2 linked regions of the Astyanax mexicanus genome follow. The main gene of each other region encodes a partner of the protein of the gene in region 2 in a complex. Links are inferred from orthologs where the notes say so. Each region holds a gene or a part of one and is shown on either strand. Other genes may lie near its edges. The genes, in order: zcchc7 and tent4b.

Region 1 (3,926 bases), on a different chromosome or scaffold from region 2:
GAGCCTTGTATCCAGGGCACTTGTATCCAGGGCACTTGTATCCATGGTATCTTAACATAACTTCTAACTTACACCCAACACAATGTCTTATAAACGCTAAAACTCACTTTGCCATTATAACTAACACAGTTTCCAGAAATATATAACATACCGTGTCTAATGTTGAACAGTATCTCGCAATACAACTCAACAGGGTGTCATAACACCGAACACGACCTAAAACACAATGTCCTGTAACAACCAACTAAGTGTCACAATAACCAATAAAGTGTCCTGTAGCAACCAGCAGAGTGTCAGAATACTCAACACAGGTCCCATAGTACCTAACAATGTCATCAAATCCAAAACATTGTCATAATACCCAACACAGCATCCTGTAACAGCCAACAGTGTTATAATACCCAACATAGTGTCTTGTAAGACCCAACCCAAGTGTCATTATACCAAACAAACAGTCCTGTAGTACCCAGCAGTGTCATTATACCCAACACAAGGTGCAATAATATCAAACAGTGTCATAAAATCCTACACTGTCTAACACTGTGTCAAAAGAGAGTCCTGTAGCATCCAACATATAGCACCCTACAATAAAACTCAGCACAGTGCCCTGTAACAGCCAACATTGTCATAATACCCAACACAGAGTCTTGTAAAACACAACAAAGTGTCATTATATCAGAGAGGTCAGCAAACAGAAGGTTCGGTAATACCAAACAGTGTTTAAATTCCAACACTGTGTCATAATACCAAAGCAGTGTACTGTAACAGCCAACAGAGTGTCATAATACCCAACACAGCAAAGAATCCTGCAAAGAAGAATGGGCCAAAATTGCTCCAAAGACATGTGAAAGACTAATTGCCAGTTACCTCAAGTACTTGATCGCAAGGGTGACACAACCAAGTTATTAGGTTTAGGGGGCAAATACTTTTTCACATATTTTTTCTTACCTTTAATAAATGAATTTATCATTTTTTTTTATTTACTCAGGTTATCTTTATCTGATATGATTACACACAAACATAACATCCTTTGACGTTGTCTAACACATTGCATAAAAGCCAGCCCAGAGTCTTGTAAGACCCAAAAAAGTGTCATTATACCAAACGTAGAGGCCTGTAGCACCCAGCAGTGTCACGATACCCAATACAGAGTCCTGTAACAGCTAACAGAATGTTATAATACCCAACACAAGGTCCAATACAGTTTTTTTCTTGATTGCTAAAACACTAAACCCTGTTGTCTGAACCAAATCCTCAGTGCCCTGAACCCATTTATTATTATTATTCAATGGTCACTTTAATCTTTAACTTTTCACTTATTTAGACACGAATTGCAAAGATATTTTACCCACTAAAACACAGTTTGCAGTGGGATGCACTTTGGTTGCAAGTCAGTGAAAGAACAGGTGTCTCAACTTCAACACAGCAAATCAAAATTGATCACACTTGTGGAAGTGCACTGAAAGCAGCAGTACACGAAGAAGTGCACACCTGTGTATCACACATACTGTAAACCTAGGAAAGGGAAATAAATGTATTTCCATAACATTAAAGCCCTACACTACTGTCTGTCTGTCTGTCTGCATGAGACTGAACTGGTGGTGAACTCTCCTGTATGGGAGACAGCTCCCAGCGCTAGCTCACGGTCGGCCACCCTGTTTTCCTCCTACAGCCACGGAAGCCGCAGCGCTTCAAAACAGCGGAGTGTGATCCAGAAACAGGTGAGATTACGGCTCTCACACACCTTAAACACAGCGATTTCAGCGCGTTTACATGTCTACACAACTGTAACACCGCCGTAACGTGGTTTTAAATGAGTTAAACGACTCGATTACACACAAAACAGCAGCCGGCTTCTCCCTAGACAGAGAACACGTGGATGTCAGAGCTGAGAGCTGGAGAGCTGGGGAGCTGAAAACACTTAAATCAGCTAAAATACACAAAATTTACTGCGTTAACAGCGAATTTAAACACAAAAACCGGCAAACAAACATATGTGTTGTTTATAAAAGAGAGAAGTGATGTTTGGAGGAGTTTGGGGGGTCTGGATTAGACCAAAACAGACAGAGTCTTGTTATTTAACTTAGCTAACAGCTAGCTAGCTAACTAGCTAATCGAACTCTAAAATAGTTACACTAAAGGCCTAGGTATATGAAGCTAATGTTAGCTAGCTTACCAATATAGAGCTATAGAAGTGGGGGAACACTTATGTAAAAGTACTCTTAAATTTGTAACTTAGCTGTTAACCTAGATAAAGTTATAGTGAGGTTGCTGAACAGAGTGTGATGCTAAGGATGCTAAGCTATGATAGTTAGCAAGCTAGCTAGCTCTGTATACTGTTGATGGGGTTGTTTAGTTTAGCATAACTTAGCTTCCATTCCACAAAATACTGTAGCTATACTGTAGACAATACTGTAACAGGTAGCTACACAGTGTGGCATGCTGACAACTAGCTAAAGATATAGTGTTTAGGTAAGCTTTTAGGCTACACTTGCTATGCTAGCTGGTTAGCTGTCTATAAGGTTGAATGGGCTGTTTAGCTTAGCATAATTCAGCTGCTGTACCAAACTCTAGTGCTATAGTCATATAAAGCTAGCTAATACTGTAACAGGTACGCAGGGTGGCATGAAAACAAGCTAAAGATATAGCTTAGTATTTGGCTAAGCATTTGTGCTATGCTAGCTAGCTCTCTATAAGCTCAAAGGGGCTGTTTTACTTAATATATATGTATGGAATAGCTTAAATTCGAAACAGTGCTGTAGCCATACGAAGCTAGCTAGTACTTTAACAGGTACACAGGGTGGCATGCAGAAAGCTAGCTAAATATATAACCTAGTATTTGGGCAATAATTCAGGCTATGCTTGCTATGTTAGCTGGTTATCTTTCTGTAAGGTTGAATGGGGTGTTTAGCTTAGCATAATTCAGCTGCTATTCCTAACAGTGCTGTAGTCATATAAAGCTATCAAATACTGTAACAGGTACACATGGTGGCATGCAGAAAACTAGCTGAATATATAACCTAGTATTTGGGCAATAATTCAGGCTATACTTGCTATGTTAGCTAGTTGGCTCTCTATAAATTGAATGGGTTGTTTAGCTTAGCATAATTCAGCTGCTATTCCAAACTGTAGTGCTGTAGTCATATAAAGCTAGCTAATACTGTAACAGGTACACAGCTATAGCTATAGTATTTGGTCAAGCTTTGAGGCTAAGCTAGCTATCTCTCTATAATGGTAAATAAGTTGTTTAGCTTAGCTTATACATGGAATATAATGGAATATAATCCATATAATGCTAACTTGTACTGTAACAGGTAAACAGGGTGGTATGCTGAAAACGTGCTGAAGTTATAGCTTAGTGTTTGGCCAAACATTTAGGCTATAATTGCTATGTTAGCTAGCTAGCTCTATATAAGGTTAAATGGGTTGTTTAGCTTAGGGATAGCTTCTAATTTCCTAATTTTTCTTCGGGATAAATAAAGCACCCATCCCTCCAAATAGTACTGTAGTCATGTAGCTAGCTAATACTGTAACAGGTACACAGGATGGCATACTAAAACTAGCTACAGATATAATGTTTGGCTATGCATTTAGCGGAAGCTATGCTAGTTAGCTAGCTCGCTTAATATAAGTTTGACTGTTTAGTTTAGCATAACTCAGCTTCTATTCCATACAGTTCTGTAGCTAGTACTGTTACAGGTACACAGGGTGGCATTCTAAAAAGATATAATTTATTATTTAGCATAGTGTTTGGGCAAGCTTTTAGGCTATGTTTGCTGTGTTAGCCAGCTAGCTCTGTATAAGTTTGAAAGGGTTGTTTAGCTTAGCATAACTTAGCTTCCATGCTACACAATACCATAGCCATAATGTAGTTAGTACTGTAACAGGTAGCTACACGGGGTGAAAAGCTGACAACTAGCTGAAGC
Region 2 (3,926 bases):
CGGGCTACAGGGCTCAGCCAGTCCGTTTTTACTGTTTCTGTAAACAAATAAAGGTTTTAACCCCACTAACCGGATAATACAGCTCACTACAGTTCATCTTTCAGCCCAAGCAGCTAACAGCAGCAGGTTAGAACAGCCGACACGGAGGCACTGCTCGGATTGCATTATAAACAGGTCAGTTAGCGCGCTGCTAACCTCAGGATGTTTATAACTACGGAGTTTAGTGGACACACCACGGCCGCCAGGTAAGTCTTTTAAAGGCTACTGAAGACTATTAAAGGCTATTAGAGTGTAACCCCTGGCTCCCAGGGGTTACAAGAGGTTATTGAAAGCATTATTGGGGGGCAGAAATCAGTACAGGCTGGTTAGATAAGTGATGTGGGTATTGTCTTATAAATATTTACACATAACTTATATCTCTCCTGAAAAGCTTTTATTTTAGTCAGAAACACGCTTGTGTTTACTTTATCTGAGAGAAAGATGTTTTTTTAATTCAATGGAAAGCAACAGGTGTAGTCAATTATAAGTTTAAGATTTTTAATCCACCTCACTGTGATCTATAGTCAGTGTTCTCACACTGACACACGCATTTCAGCGAGTTCACACGCTCTCACCTGCGCGCACCCACCCCTCCGTTAGATACAGATACAAAACCTGCGCGCCCAACCCCCGCCCCCCCTCCCCCGTTGGACAGATAAAAACAGTGATCACACTCCCGCCGACTGCGCTCATGCAGTGGCTATCTCTATTTAAATGAATAGGATGCGCTGTGTTGGTGCCGCGCCATTTGCGTAGCGCGCTGCGCTATTTGCGTAGCGCGCGCGGGAGGGATCGTCGATCCTCTTTTTGACTTCGATACTCGAGATCGTGACCTCATTTCGATTCGATTTCGATAAAATATCGAGATCGTGACACCCCTATTAGCTAGGTAAAGATATAAGCTAGCATTAGCCAGCTAACGCTAACAGACTGACTGGGTTAGCTAGCTCAGTTAACTTAGCAAACCTTAGCTAGCTAACTTCAGCTAAACTTGAACAGAAAATAAACGCAAGAGTAAGACTTAAAGCTGCTAGATAATTAACCTTGATAGCTAGCCATAATTAACGTTAACGTTTTTTAAAGGCTTTTTAACTCTTTCCAGCCCCACATCAACTACACTGACATTTACTCACCAAACATATGGATAAGTACATGTAACTAGCTAAGTTATATAACGTTAAGCACACCAAGTCACTTTTCTTATAATTCTTATGCTCCAAAAGAAATGGAACAGCTTAACGTTACCAGTTGAGATCAGACACGCATCAGTAAACAGTTTCAAAAAGCAGCTCCAGACATATTTTTATAACTTTGTTTTAATAATTGAGACATTTGAGCTAAAATGTTTGAAAAAATTATTATCATTGTTATTTTCTATTGACTTATCTTAATTGTTTATTTTACTTTGCTTTTACTGAGTTTTATTTTATTTTCCATTTTAGTCTGATTACCTTTCTGTATGTACAGCACTTTAAACTGCATTTTAATGTATGAAAGGCGCTCCATATATTTAGTTTATTATTATAACCAATATCATTAACTAGAATCTTGCACTTTTTCTCTGTAGACTGTATATTGGCTGATTGCATTGATATACTGCACTATTGTAGCAAAGTTTTTATTATAACCTAGCATGCCCTTAGTAAGTTATAGCTATTGTCATACGTGTTCTCTGATTGTACTTAAGGTAGCTATTTGTGTTTTTTAACCAACTGGATGTCTTAATTTCCATCTGGAACAAAAAAAAACTATGTAAGTTAGTTAACTATCTATCCTTTGCTAAGCTCATTTTGGAAACCTCAAAACGAAGCTCTCTCTGCAGACTCACCCCACGATGCCCTCCGAGTAGTTTCTCTTCTTCCACGGCGTGCCCGTGTACGCCGCTGCTGCCGCCTCCTCCTCCTCCTGCTCCGGCCCACAGCCATGGAGGATCAGGCTCCGGTTGAAGCCGAAAGTGCTCGCCTTATTCTCCCGTTTCCTCTTGTTGCGCTGAGCCGCCGCAGCGAGCCCAGCTGAAGAACCGCCGCCGCCCCTACCCGCCGGTGCGAATCGCCCGCGGTTCTGGTTGTTGTTCGCCGCCTCCAGAGGTATAAAGTCCCGCTGATCCACAACGTCGCAGTCCGCCCTGGAGCCCGACATTCCCTGCGCCTTCCCCTCGCTGCTCCTGCAGTCCGCCGCCCCGCTTTCGCCGTTCACTCTCGTGCTTGCTGTGGCCGGACCCGCGCCGTGGTGCTGCTGCTGCTGCTGCTGGTGGTGGTGGTGGTGGTGGTTGCTGCCGCTGCTGAAGTACAAGTTCCCGAGGCCCTGCGTGGTCTCCCAAATCTGCATCCACAAGCTGTTGGCGGGTCCGCGCTGTTCTGGCTGAAACCAGGCGATTCGAGGATCCATCAAACGGAAAGGTGGCTGTTGCCCCCCCACAGCTGAGCCAGTTAACGCCCGGGAACGCCGCACACTCACTCCGGGCTCTGGCAGCGCCGCTAGCGTTAGCTAGCCACTAGCTCCCTAGCTAGTTAGCTAGCTAGCGTTAGGTTCGCTCACTTCGCCCCCACTAGCCCCCGTTTCTGCTTCGCTATAAAATAGCCGTATGTTATCGTAACATGCCATTAACGGAGCTGGAAAGAGGGGATTGCTGGCATCAGAAGACCGCGGATAGATACGGGTTCAGACGGGAAAAAACGCCCACAGTCAAAGTTAAGGGTAAAGCGGAGTGAGAGAAACGTGCGAGCGTCGCCTGTCGAGGTGAAGTTATGCTAAGCTAACTGCTAACCTCTCTCTCTCCTTTCCTCTCCCTCTCTCTCTCTCTCCCTCACTCACTCAGGGTCTGTCCACTGGCACTGCGCCCACCAGCGGAGAGACCGAGCGAGCGTAACACTGTAACACTCAAAGGTGGAAAAAGATCGGTAACATAACCATTCTTTCACATTCAAATATATAATTTATAATTTATAATTAACTCTTAGAATGCAGTGTTGTGAAAATCAGACTTAGGCCACTCTAAAACCTTTATTTTGTAGGCCATTCAGATTTGGAACTGGAACTGCTGGTGTGTTTCAGATCATTGTCCTGCTGCAGAACCCAAGCTCACCTAAACTTAAAACTTTTCCCTTAAGAAATGAAATCATCGTTTTTGTATTTACTCTTGTAATTTTTGTCTGATATTGAAGTTTGTTTAATAATCTGGAAAATTAAAACAAAAGAAATCTGTAATAGAGCAGAAAAGTTTTGTGGCAGTGCATATTGTTAACTTTATAATAGGGATGTGTCTCATTTAAGTGTATACTTGCCAAATTGTTTATTTACAAAGATACATTTTCTAAACTCTTACTTTTTTAATGAAATCAAATTACTTCTGAACAGAGGTGTATAGTGAGGAAGTAAAAGTACTTCACTACTGTACTGAATTACTAAAATCCTGTATCTGTATCTAATGGAGTATTATTTGTATCTCCTACTTTCACTTTTACTTCACTACATATTTTCAATCAGTTTATTACTTTAACTACATTTTTATGGGCTGCATTGTTACTTGTAACAATTAAAAATATATATATAAATCACTCCAAACCCTCTGCTCTGCTCCTCTGTTACTGGGTTTGATGAAGCTCCTCATCATTGAGCAAATCAAGAGATCAAGCTGATCTTATAAGAAGACCAGGCAGCTTGAGTTCTGCCTTTCACTCTGAGAACTTTCCTTTTGAGAATGTTTGAGGAGGATTTGAAGGCAGTATCTGCCCAAACGTTTGACATGTCATATCATATGTTTATCATGCATTTTTTTTTACTTTTTATTTTCGCATACAAACTAATCGATTTAAGGTAGTAAGGTAGTAAATTTAAAGTAGTAGCAAGGTGTTGTAAGTAGAATGTTGTTATTTAGTCCTTCCAAA

What was found.
Region 1: tent4b (region 2) and zcchc7 share a complex: the UniProt entries of both Homo sapiens proteins name them as parts of the nucleolar TRAMP-like complex. The link is inferred for Astyanax mexicanus from reciprocal best matches to the Homo sapiens genes TENT4B and ZCCHC7.

Annotation. Positions count from the first base shown.
Region 1 is NC_064432.1:7,203,391-7,207,316, reverse strand, and holds the start of zcchc7 (zinc finger CCHC domain-containing protein 7), read left to right. Parts: upstream 1-1,481; 5' UTR 1,482-1,721; intron 1,722-3,926.
Region 2 is NC_064430.1:12,170,967-12,174,892, forward strand, and holds the start of tent4b (terminal nucleotidyltransferase 4B), read right to left. Parts: upstream 2,769-3,926; 5' UTR 2,428-2,768; coding exon 1,868-2,427; intron 1-1,867. UniProt on the Homo sapiens protein: Terminal nucleotidyltransferase that catalyzes preferentially the transfer of ATP and GTP on RNA 3' poly(A) tail creating a heterogeneous 3' poly(A) tail leading to mRNAs stabilization by protecting mRNAs from active deadenylation.